Rattus norvegicus: one gene and its partners. The protein of the gene in region 2 purifies or fractionates together with the protein of the main gene of each other region. This does not show direct contact. Links are inferred from orthologs where the notes say so. Each region holds a gene or a part of one and is shown on either strand. Other genes may lie near its edges. The genes, in order: Tsr1, Rps2 and Stau1.

The links.
Region 1: the proteins of Rps2 (region 2) and Tsr1 purify together in Homo sapiens (affinity purification with mass spectrometry; 3 studies listed by BioGRID and IntAct, counting the BioPlex papers as one, with this or other methods). This does not show direct contact. The link is inferred for Rattus norvegicus from reciprocal best matches to the Homo sapiens genes RPS2 and TSR1.
Region 3: the proteins of Rps2 (region 2) and Stau1 purify together in Homo sapiens (affinity purification with mass spectrometry; 3 studies listed by BioGRID and IntAct, counting the BioPlex papers as one, with this or other methods). This does not show direct contact. The link is inferred for Rattus norvegicus from reciprocal best matches to the Homo sapiens genes RPS2 and STAU1.

Annotation. Positions count from the first base shown.
Region 1 is NC_086028.1:60,257,408-60,261,684, reverse strand, and holds the start of Tsr1 (pre-rRNA-processing protein TSR1 homolog), read right to left. Parts: upstream 2,896-4,277; 5' UTR 2,860-2,895; coding exon 2,763-2,859; intron 2,604-2,762; coding exon 2,500-2,603; intron 1,946-2,499; coding exon 1,726-1,945; intron 1,623-1,725; coding exon 1,488-1,622; intron 688-1,487; coding exon 263-687; intron 1-262. Other genes in the region: Sgsm2 (small G protein signaling modulator 2), read left to right, coding at 4,057-4,113. UniProt on the Homo sapiens protein: Required during maturation of the 40S ribosomal subunit in the nucleolus.
Region 2 is NC_086028.1:14,250,452-14,254,227, reverse strand, and holds Rps2 (small ribosomal subunit protein uS5), read right to left. Parts: upstream 2,381-3,776; 5' UTR 2,370-2,380; exon of another isoform or gene 2,236-2,369; 5' UTR 2,233-2,235; coding exon 2,056-2,232; intron 1,977-2,055; coding exon 1,887-1,976; intron 1,720-1,886; coding exon 1,612-1,719; intron 1,558-1,611; exon of another isoform or gene 1,424-1,557; intron 1,361-1,423; coding exon 1,027-1,360; intron 940-1,026; coding exon 848-939; intron 653-847; coding exon 572-652; 3' UTR 531-571; downstream 1-530. Other genes in the region: Ndufb10 (NADH dehydrogenase [ubiquinone] 1 beta subcomplex subunit 10), read left to right, coding at 1-129, 256-359.
Region 3 is NC_086021.1:176,099,871-176,103,484, reverse strand, and holds part of Stau1 (double-stranded RNA-binding protein Staufen homolog 1), read left to right. Parts: intron 1-922; coding exon 923-998; intron 999-1,178; coding exon 1,179-1,498; intron 1,499-1,967; coding exon 1,968-2,090; intron 2,091-2,438; coding exon 2,439-2,524; intron 2,525-3,070; coding exon 3,071-3,086; 3' UTR 3,087-3,614. UniProt on the Homo sapiens protein: Binds double-stranded RNA (regardless of the sequence) and tubulin.

The DNA of each region.
Region 1 (4,277 bases), about 46 Mb from region 2:
GGATAAATACACTTAACTACCATGTGTCTGAATTCCTACTGCCTTACAATTCAAACCAGCAGTAGTCTCCTCACTGGCCTCAGCATGCAAACTATATGCTCTGAAATTTAAAAAGCAGGGTGGCCCCACAAGGCCTTCCACACTCGTAATATACCCCTCTCCAGCACACAAAAATAAATTCAGTAAAAAAATTAAAAACAATCTCAGGCAAGGAATGTAGCCAAGTGAGTTAGACTCCCAGAAATGGAAACACCAATCTTACCTCCATTGACATGCTTGGTTTCTTTTGGGATTTAACCACTCTAGGATTTAAAGGGAAAGGATCCACAGGCGCGTCTATTTGATTCATTTGGAAATCACCATGTCCAACAATATGCAGCAAACTATTTACATTCAGAGTCCTCCCTCGAATGTAGCCTGAGATTTTCAAGGTGCCCACTAAGTCACTCTCCTCACTAGGCATGAAGTCAGCATCATGGGCAAACAAGTAAGCTCGCCGATCCCGAAAAGCAAGATGCCTTTGCTTCTGGTTAGCCAACTGTCTGAGTAACATTCCTGATTCTTGCTGGGTGTCCAGCAGCAGGAGTTTGTCTTCAGGAAAGCGTTTCTCCACTGTTTTATTTAGCTTCTTTCTGGCATCCGTTTGTCTCTTTGGTGGGAGACTAGGAAGTCCCTGGACAGCTAGCACTGAAAGAAGAGAGAAGAACTTAGGAGCTTAGTGCTCCACTGCTTGAAGATCCCTCTCCAGTTCTTCATAAACCTCCCAACAGCCAAAGAAACGTCACAATGAGTGTTAACTTCCTAGTCCTTTCCTGGGCACAGGACAGCCCAGAAATTAAAAGTTCTCTTTAATAATATGAAAATAGGGCTGGGGATTTAGCTCAGTGGTAGAGCGCTTACCTAGGAAGCCCAAGGCCCTGGGTCGGTCCCCAGCTCCGAAAAAAAGAACCAAAAAAAAAAAAAAAAAAAAAAAGCTAGGTGGCAGTGCACATTTTCAATCCCAACACTTGGAATTGGGTGGTAGGGGGCAAATCTCTGTAAGATCAAGGTTAGCCTGGTCTACAGGAACAGTTCCAGGACAGTCAGGGTTACATAAGAGGAACTTTTTGTCTCCAAAACAAACAAGCAAACACCACCAAAAACTAAAATATATGAAAATAATGTTTAATCTGGACAAGTATAGCCCAGGCCAGCAGAATTCAACTCCTTGATTTACTCCTAAACCAAGTGTTAAACATTACGTCTCAAGGACCAGAGCTGTTAAAAGATAAAAGGATTAAATGCACTGACTGCTCTTCCAGAGGTCCTGAGTTCACATCCCAGCAACCACATGGTGGCTCACAACCATCTGTAATGAGATCTGATGCCTTCTTCTGGTGTGTCTGAAGACAGCGACAGTGTACTTATAATAAATAAATAAATCTTTAAAAAAATGAAAGGAAAATTTACTTTGTTTTCTGGTCTCACTGATACTAGAACACACTTACTATAGGTGGGAAGGCCCTGAGCAAAGAGGCAAGATAGACAATAATCCCCAGTACTGTCCCAGCCTTCTAATGGGTCCAGGAGGAACAGGATGGTATCAGCAACTTTAGCCATGTCTAATAGTGTATGCAGATCCCCTGTATATAAAAGACACCGTAAAAAAAAAAGATAGTTAGCACATTGTAATCAAGAAATAGAACCACTTAAACATAAGAAGAGAAAAGGATTAGATCCCCTAACCTGGTCTTGCATATGTGAAAGACCACCGATGTTTCAAGCTAGGGCTCAGAAGCATAAAACTATGGGTGCTTCCCCGTTCATTCAAATACACTGTTCCCAGGTCTTCGTTCTGAAGCAGTTTAAATGCCTCTGGAAGGCAAATCCTGTTGTGCAGAGGCACCACCAGCACCTGATGTGGAGGCCCATCCTTGCTGCCCAGCTGCCTCTTCTCTGCCAGAACCTAGGAACACAAAGATTCAAGAATATCTCAATCATTTGCTTCACTAGTCATTACATCTTCAAAAGTACAGATGCTGCAACCCCAAAGCACAACTGCTCTCCTTTCTGTTGCTCTGTAAAAATACTAAGGGAAATTTATGTAACGTAAAACATGAGAAAAGATCGGAACAGCCAGGTGTGGTGGCCCAAGCCTTTAAACCGGACACTCAGAAGACAGAGAGGATCTCTGAGTTCTCAGCCGGCCAGGGCTACCTAGTGAGATCCTTTGTTTAAAATCATCATCATCATCATCATCATCATCATCCTTCTCCTCCTCCTTTCCTCCTCCTCCTCTGCAAAAGAGCAAGTCCGTATAAATGAAGATAACCAAGCATTCTCTTGCCTCGTGTATGTATGTGCTGTCAAGGAGTTTGGAGGGGCGTCGTACTAAGAACACGGCCCGAAGGTACCCTGGGTTTACCCGTTTTCGGCCCATTTCCGTGTCACATTTTTTTAGTTTGAGACTTTACCAATCTGAAGCCATGGCCTCACCGCTTCCCAACCCCCACTCCTCACCGCCTCCCTCTTCTGCTTTCGGAGCTGGCTGGCGCGATGCCTCTGGTCTACTCGGCTGAGCTGCTTCTTAAGCTTCTTGCACAGGATTTTCGGTCCTACACGACCTGAAAGGCAGATCAGAAGTGGCTGTTCTCCTCACGGTTAAATTAACAGACAAGAACTTCCCTAAGCTCCTTAAAAAGAGTCTTTGGCACGAGTCCCAAGTCTAATCTCCGGGCACGGGTATCGACTAAGCAGCCCTTCTCCCTCCTCTGTCTACGCACCTTTGCTGTCCCGTTGTGCGGACCCACCGCCGTGGTGCCGCCCGCCTTTATGAGCTTTATTCTGCTGCTTCAGCGGCCCGGAGCGGTGAGCCGCCATTCTAACTGCCCACGTGCACCGAGTAAACACTACTTCCGGGCTGACCCGAGCGTTTCCGGCCCGCGAGAGGGACTTGTCTTTACGCTCCCGTGACCTCTCGCGAGGTTTTTTTCGCCAGCCTGCGAGCGCGGGGTACTGAGTCTCTGCGGACACGTCGTGGTAACTTTTCCCACGCTGCAGTCGTCTGCTGAGAGCTGAAAGACGCCGGTAGTAATCTCCCGGCTTCGTCTCTTGATTAGAAAAATCTACTTTGCTCTCATCTTCCCACCTTTGCACCCTAAAGTTACATCACATGGGAAGAAATAAAAGTAGATTTTCCACGCCGCTCTCTCCGGTCCCAATGAATTGTATAAAGGAATAAAACGTGTAACTGGGTATCCTTTTCTTTCCTCTATGACTCTAATTCCCAACGCGAGTCACTTAGAAGGGACTCGTGTCACCGGCTCCGTTCTGTCTCTTACTCCGACTCGTGCCCCTCTCTCCCAACAATTCTGCAAGATGAACAAAAACCGGACGTGGAGACCCGAAGGAGAGCGAAGGCTTCCTCTTGTGCTCGGGCACCTGCTCTTCGTAGCTCGTGGTCGGGTTCTTGCTTTTCTCCTGCAAGCGTTGCGACTAAGAACTGCTGGCAGGCCACAGGATCCGGAGGAGTGACAGGATCATGTTCGAACCACAGTGACCCAGAGCCGAGACCTTGGCTCCTTAACGCCTCTCCGAGGGGCCAGGAGTAGGGAGCGGTTACTGTGGTTTAGGTTAGGCCAGAAGTAAGTACCTCTTCAAAGTCTGCCCGCTTGTGCAGTGGCGAGAGGCTGACTCCCAGCGCTCACAATGCGGGTTCGCGCCCTCGGGGCGGGAGCGGGCCGGTCGCCATGACAACCATCCCTGCGGCGCGCGCCCGGGCCCGACGCCCCCAGGCGTCCGCACCCGCCCTGACCCCCCCCCCCAGTCGCAGCGCACACACCCCCTCCCTGCCGGCTGTGGGAAGGGGCCGGGCCTGCTGCCTGACGTCTGCGGGGCTCGGAAGATGGCTGCGGAGCTGAGCACCGGGCAGTGGCTGCGGCGGCTGCAGGCGGGGAGTGCAGCGGGCGGGGGCTCCGCCTCGCGTGTGGGGCGCTGAGTCGGGAGGTGCGGAGGCGGTGAGGGCGCACGGGGGCTTCGGGGGCCGCTTGGTGCCGCCTGCCCGCCACCTGCCGCACCATGGGCAGCGCAGAGGACGCAGTCAAAGAAAAGCTGCTGTGGAACGTGAAAAAGGAGGTACGGTCGGGGCAAGGTCTCAGGGGCTCGCACCCCTCCCTGGGCTGGCCCTCGAGCAGAGAGTTCGTGGCACCCACGCGCGCGGCCGCCAGCCCACCGTGCCAGGCGGGGGCGGGGTCCTGTTAGGGCCGCGCCCCACGTCCCTCTCTGCGTCCCTGGCAGCG
Region 2 (3,776 bases):
AAGAAATCATCAACATCATCCAGGAGAGACTTAAGGCTTGTCAGCAGAGGGAAGGAGAGAGTGCACTGCAGAACTGTGCCAAGGAATTGGAGCAATTCACCCAAGTGTCTAAAGCCTACCAGGACCGCTGTGAGTGACCCTTTTACCTTGTGGCTTTCCCCACCCTTTCAGCTGTATGATCAGTTTTGGGTCCTTGTTTCCCGCGTTACTAAAACCTGCCTATAACAAGCTCTCCATGGCCCATCTCTCCTCCAGACCAGGACCTGGGAGCCTACTATTCTGCCAGGAAGTGCCTGGCAAAGCAGAAGCAGAGGATGCTGGAAGAGAGAAAGGCTGCCAAGGAGACTGCTGCCGCCTAAGACACCAGACAAAGAACTCTTGTTCATCCACTGCTGAAATAAAATGACAGGCCTGGCCATCACCTGTGTCTCTGTGTCTAAGTTGCACAGCCGCTTAGTTGGGCTCATTTTGAGCCAGCCAGAGCTGTGTAGTTCCAGGTATGGGGGAGACAGACAAAAGGAAAAACACAATTAACAGACTTAATTCATTTATTTTTCTTGTATAAAAACCCTTATGTGGTAGCCACAGCTGGAGCCTGGGTCCTCTGAACAGAGACTCTGGTGTGGGTTTTCACAAGATGGTCAGTGAATTCCTAAAAAGAGAAGGACATTAGTATACAACATGCCCCCAACTCAGGCAACAAAGCTTAAGGCAGCTAAACACACCACCATCTGGTTCTTTTTTTTTTTTCCGGAGCTGGGGACCGAACCCAGGGCCTTGCGCTTCCTAGGCAAGCGCTCTACCACTGAGCTAAATCCCCAACACACCACCATCTGAATCAGCCTACCTGATAAGGAGACTTGGTGAACACAGTCTCTTTCCAGAGGTCAGGGGTCAGGTAGCTGTAGGTCTTGGAGATGGCATCAAAGGTGGCCTTGGCTGTGAAACAGTAAAAGAGTTGGTTTTGTCTTTTTTTTTTTAAGATTAAAACAGCTGAAGAGAGGCCACAATAAATGAGCTACCTACCAAAGTTGCCCAGGGTGGCAGTGCAGCCCCTGGCTGAAGTGTAGCAGTCATCTATACCGGCCATCATCAGTAGCTTCTTGGGCACAGGAGCAGAGACAATGCCAGTGCCTCTGGGGGCAGGGATGAGACGAACCAGCACAGAGCCACAGCGGCCTGTCACCTTGCATGGCACAGTGTGGGGCTTGCCAATCTTGTTCCCCCAGTAGCCTCTCCGCACTGGGACGATCGAAAGCTTGGCCAGGATGATGGCCCCTCGGATGGCAGTGGCTACCTCCTTGGAGCACTTAACACCAAGACCAACGTGGCCATTGTAGTCCCCAATAGCGACAAAGGCCTGTGAAAAGACTTAAGTGAAATGGCTGTAGATACCTCATGCCACCAGCACATCCCAAACAGGACCTGTGGTGCTCCTCTAAGCAAGAAAGGCCACTGTGAGGCCAATCCCAAGTACTGGAGGAACTCCTTTTCTCTCTCTCCCGGTACGAAAGTCACACGGGTAAAGCCTAGTGTAACCATGCAGAGTGAGAGAGTTAAGTACAGCCCTACTGTTCAAACGGCTCTTGCCAAGAAACGATCCTAACTAACCTTGAACCTGGTCCGCTGGCCAGCCCGAGTCTGCTTCTGCACTGGCATGATTTTCAGAACTTCATCCTTTAGAGATGCACCCAGGAAAAAGTCAATAATCTCAGACTCCTGTAAAAGAGATTTTATGGCAAATACATTAAATTCGCTCCCTACCAATGGACAAAGAAGGGTATTCCAATCCTCCTCCACCCTTGACAATAAAATGTGGCAGCACACTTAGAGCCATCTAGATATTCCCGCCCTTGAGTTGTTTATGCACGGACTCATCTTTGTACCTTAATGGGCAGGGAGAACAGGTAGATCTCCTCCAAGGACTTGATCTTCATGTCCTTAACCAGGCGGCCCAGCTTGGTAACGGGGATCCACTGAAGGAAGAGATCAGTCAAAGGGCTGCATCTCCGTGCAGAGGGTGAGCAGCCCGCTCCGCCAGCGGCCCACACCTACCTCCTTGTCTTCAGCTTTACCTCCACGAGCCCCGCGGCCTCGACCGCGGCCACGGCCTCGGCCACGACCGCGGCCCCTAAGGCCGCTGCCGAATCCTCCGCGGAAGCCGCCGCGGCCTCCTAATCCTGGGCCCCCGGGTCCTCCGGGCCCTCCCGCTGCACCGGCGTCATCCGCCATTTGCTAGTGACAAGAGAAGAAAAAGCAAATCAGTAGAACCCCAGGGTCCGCGGAGCTGCCAAAGCTGTGTCCGTCCGGATGTCCACGGATTCCCACAGCCCAGGCCGCAAGATCAGAGCCCAGTAACACAGACTCACGTGTTTTCCCGAAGAAAAAGAAGAGGGAGGCGCTGCGGAAGGGACCTTTTATAGCGAGCCAAGAGCCGCGAGATCTCGAACGTCTATACAGGGCAACTGCAGGCTGTGATTGGCTGCGTCTTGTCCCGCCTCCGCCACGGTCTACTTGCGCCTGCGCACTTCCCCTCGCCGAAGCCGCGAACGCCACCAGCCGGAAGCGCGTATATAAATACTCGCGCCGGCGCTTTGTGGTCTTCCTAGTGTCCACGAGTTCGTGCTTCCGTTTTCATGTCCAGGTAGGTCGCTCCTGATGGGCTTTGACCCAGTAAATGGGCGTTCGTTGAAAATCATCCTCGGCTTTGGCCTGTGGCCGGGGTTGAGAATCGGCGCCCAGAGCCACAGAGGCCTCAGCTCACCCCCTGCTGCCCCAGTGTGGGAGGGTGAAACCCAGGCCCCTACATTCCAGATCGCCTCGCCGCTCCCGCGGTCTGGCTTGGGGCCACAGTCCTAATCACGTCATTTATTTCACAGGTTCCACTGGATCTGAACGTTGTCGCCGCCTCCCCCGCAAGAGTGGCAGTGTTCGGGTGTCCTCTTTTCTCAAAATGAGTTAATTCCACCGGATCTGGACGTTGCCGCTGACTCTCCCGCGAGAATGACAGGGTTCGGATGTCCTCTTTTCTCAAATAAAATGTTTTAACTTAACTGTGTATTAATGTGTTGGACGGTTACCATCAGTCTAGGTGGAAAGTGCATTCTCTTTTTTCTTTTTTTTTTTTTCGGAACTGGGGACCGAACCCAGGGCCTTGCGGTTGCTAGGCAAGCGCTCTACCACTGAGCTAAATCCCCAACCCCGGAAAGTGCATTCTCAACCGGTGTGTTAGTCTCAGCAGTCAGCATCTGGGTACCCAAGGCAGGCGGATTCTTGTGCGTTTTAATGTGCTTTGTTTTGCTTGCGTGAATGTACATCACTTGGTGTAACTGACTCCCATAAGAACGGGTTTTTCTTTTTTAAAGATTTATTATATATAAGTACACTGTAGGTGCCCTCAGACACACCAGAATAGAGCATCAGATCTCATTACAGATGGATGTGAGCCACTGTGTGGTTGCTTGGATTCCAACTCTGGACCTCTGGAAGAGCAGCCGGTGTTCTTAACCACTGAGCCATCTCTCCAACCTAAGAGCGGTTTTGAACCAGTTTTTTTTTCCACTTTTTGGTGAGACTGGGTTGTGCCTTGTACTCTAGGAATGCCCTGAATTTTAACAATCCTACTTCAGCCTTTCAAAGATTGGGGTTACACTGACTGGAGCCTGGGTGTGATTGCCTGTACTGGAGAGGCAGGCTTGCTGTACATACAGTTTAAAGCAGCCATGGTGACAGTACTGAGAGCCTGTCAGTGTGAAGGGTTAGAGGTAGCTCAGGTT
Region 3 (3,614 bases), on a different chromosome or scaffold from region 2:
TCTCTGCCAGGTGGCCTAGCTTCCTGCATGGGCAAGCCTGGGGCAAGGCTTCATCTTCCCTGCAGTAAGCAGCCTGCCCCTGGGGTTCCTCCAATTGAGATTAGTGTTTGCAGGAGGAGTTTCCTGTCTGTGCAGTCCACCATGTCCTGGGAGCCGTCCTAACGGTTAAGTCTCCTGTTCAGTGTCACTATGGGCTGGGTGTGCATTTCAGGAGGTCCTGGTCTCTGCTTCTGATGGGTGGTTGGGATTGGAATGGCTAAAATGACTGTCACTTGTGCCTAAAAGGGTCCGCGTGACCTAGCTTTGAATCGGCTTTGCTTTTTCTGGGACAAGATAGCATAGGCCAAATCTATAGATCAGATTTAGGATCCTTGTGTGAATTCTGAGTTGAATATTACTCCACTTTGAGAACTCACTCTGCAGAGTGGTCAGCGGGAAACTGAGCCATTGCTGGCTCAGCTGTTGTCATGTTGGGGTCTTCTAAAGTAGGCGTGAGCCTCTTTTGAGCTCTGCCAGTTTCACAACCAATAAATAAATCCCACTGCCTCGGAAGTCAGTACCTGGGACCCAGCCACTGCATATGGAGTTTGCAGACCTTGGTTTGCCTTCCAGATTTCCCATTCCTGAACCGTGTAGAGTACTCATAAGCACCCTCCCTGTGCCTGACAGCATTAGATACCTCCGTGTTCTCTGTGGGAGCACTGTTTTTGGATAGTTACGTAGGTGTTTCTGCTCAGCACCAGTACAGACCCTATTTTCCCAACATGCTGAACACTTTCAAGCCCACACCGCATTCAGGATCTGTTCTAAGTAGATGCTGCCACGGGGAAGCATGAGAGTTTATACAGCGGGGGTTGTGGTATTCTCCAGACCCTAGCGCTTCCGTGCTTGTCTGTGCTCACTGCCATTTTTCTTTCTTAAGACTCCAGTAAAGAAACCAGGAGATGGAAGGAAAGTAACATTTTTTGAACCTAGCCCTGGGGATGAAAATGGAACCAGTAAGTTTGGCCCTCTTTCTCGTCAGTTGAACCAGTGTGGTCTGTGTTTGTATGGTTCTTGTGTTGAGTTTTCTGAAGCACTGGTAGTGGCTGCCTTCCTGTGTGTGCTGTGATGGTGGTGGTAAGAGTGGCTCTGTCTTCTGGGGTGGTGAGGGTGACCGGTGGCCTGTGTCCCTGCAGGTAATAAAGAGGATGAGTTCAGGATGCCCTATCTTAGCCATCAGCAGCTGCCAGCCGGGATCCTCCCCATGGTGCCAGAGGTTGCCCAGGCTGTCGGGGTTAGTCAAGGACACCATACCAAAGATTTCGCCAGGGCAGCTCCAAATCCTGCCAAGGCCACGGTAACTGCCATGATAGCCCGAGAATTGTTGTACGGGGGCACCTCGCCCACAGCCGAGACCATTTTAAAGAGTAACATCTCTTCAGGACATGTACCCCATGGACCTCGCACAAGACCCTCTGAGCAACTGTACTACCTTTCCAGAGCCCAGGGATTCCAGGTAACTGTTGGCTTTCGCGTGGTCACCTTTGTGCCTCAGATGACCCTTACAGTGTGGTCAGGTCAGGTTCTTTCTGCAGAGTTGCCTGTAGAGTGTGTGCAAGACCCTGCCTGTGTTCTGCTCTCAGCACCACAGAAACTAGAAAAGGTTTTTGTGATTGTCCACGAGTTTGAGTGTACCGTGTGGTTCTGTGCAAGAAGGTCTAGGATGAGAAGGTGGCTTATCATGTAAAGGTGTCTATCTCCAAGCCCAACAATCGTAGTTTGATTAGTGGAAAAGAACCAACTCTAGCAAGTTGTCCTCAGTGTCCACACACATGCCATGAACACACCCAGGAGGTGTGTGGGGGGCAAAGTAGGCCAGGGCTGAAGGGAGAGAAGACATGTTTCCTTAGGAAGAGGAGGAGAGAACAGGCTTCTGCAGATTCTAGGCTCGGGCCCACATGCAGGGGATGTGCTGTTTTCCTTAGGTTGAATACAAAGACTTCCCCAAGAACAACAAGAACGAGTGTGTATCTCTCATCAACTGCTCTTCACAGCCACCTCTCGTCAGCCATGGCATCGGCAAGGATGTGGAGTCCTGTCATGATATGGTATGTGGGCCCGGGAGGTGCTGAGTTCTCACTCAGGAGCTGGCACACGTACTTGTTCAGTGTTAGTGGCCTCAGAGAGGGACATGGTTCTCCTGGAACCCGGTCAACTGGTCTGATTCCTCACTTCTGCTCTATTCTGGCAGCCACCTTTGGGGTGTTGTGTTCAACACAAGGAGGAATCAGCACACTTGAGCTTTGGTGTTCACTGGATGGGAAGCGTGGGAGTTTTATGTTGAGCAGGATTCAAACATTTCATTGGGAAGAAGTTGCCACCCATTTGCTGGAGTTTTCGGCATGAGGCCAGTCTGTTCCCTGTGGTTTGACTCTTCCTTCCATCCATCTTTCTAGGCTGCACTGAACATCTTAAAGCTGCTGTCTGAGTTGGACCAACAGAGCACAGAGATGCCAAGGACAGGAAACGGACCAGTTTCAGCGTGAGTGAACACACACACACACACACACACACACACACACACACACACACAGAGAGAGAGAGAGAGAGAGAGAGAGAGAGAGAGAGAGAGAGAGAGAGAGAGAGAGAAGGCAGTGCCAGTGTACACACACACACACACACACACAGAGAGAGAGAGAGAGAGAGAGAGAGAGAGAGAGAGAGAGAGAGAGAGAGAGAGAGAGAGAGAGAAGGCAGTGCCAGTGTGGGTGAGCGGGGATCCATTGAAAGGCAGGGTTAGTAGATGTGGACAGGAGCAGCCACCTCTTCACCCACTGTTATCCACGGAGCTGTGGTTAAATGTTACGTGCATTGGTGCTTTATCTGCACGTACATCAGTGTCAGATTTTAGTCACAGCCACCACTGTCACTTTCTTCCTCAGACACAACACTTGCTTTCACCGAGTACCAGCATTTTCTAGGATGATGTTATCAGTTCCCATACATAGGGCCTTGGGTGTTTGCAAGCTGCATTTTGGAGATTAGCTTTCATTTCAATGTCTGCCATTGTCATTTTTCTTTCTTAAAGGTGCGGGAGGTGCTGAACCTATTCTGGCCATGAACCATTATAAAACCCAACATATATACCGAAAATACTGAGAACTGCTTTGAAAATTTGGAATTTCTGATAACTCCAGTGGGCCAAGACATGGTGGATAAAAAAATGTGGCAAAGAAGAAAAGGAACTGCAGGTGGTGGCCTTGGTTGGGCTGGGCTGCTGGTGACGCTGTGCTCCGCCATCCACCAGGAGACCAGCAGCTCCAGTGTCTCCAGCTTTTATTTTTGCCTCGTGACAGAGAAACGGAGAGCGTGGCCAACTCTCACGCTGGCTTCTTCAGATTCTTTGGAAAACCGGGACAGCCACACCAGAGAGGCCTTACAGCGGCCCCGGAGCTAAACGCACCAGAGAAAAACCAGTGCTTCCTACATGACTGACGCAACTCTGCCACACGTAGCACCCACCGTAACCACTGCTTTCTCTTCAACAGTGATGGATGCCTGTTAGTTCCATTATTCCCTTTGGTTGAGATGACACTATGTAATTTTCATTTCAGTTTCTCAGTTGCATCTAC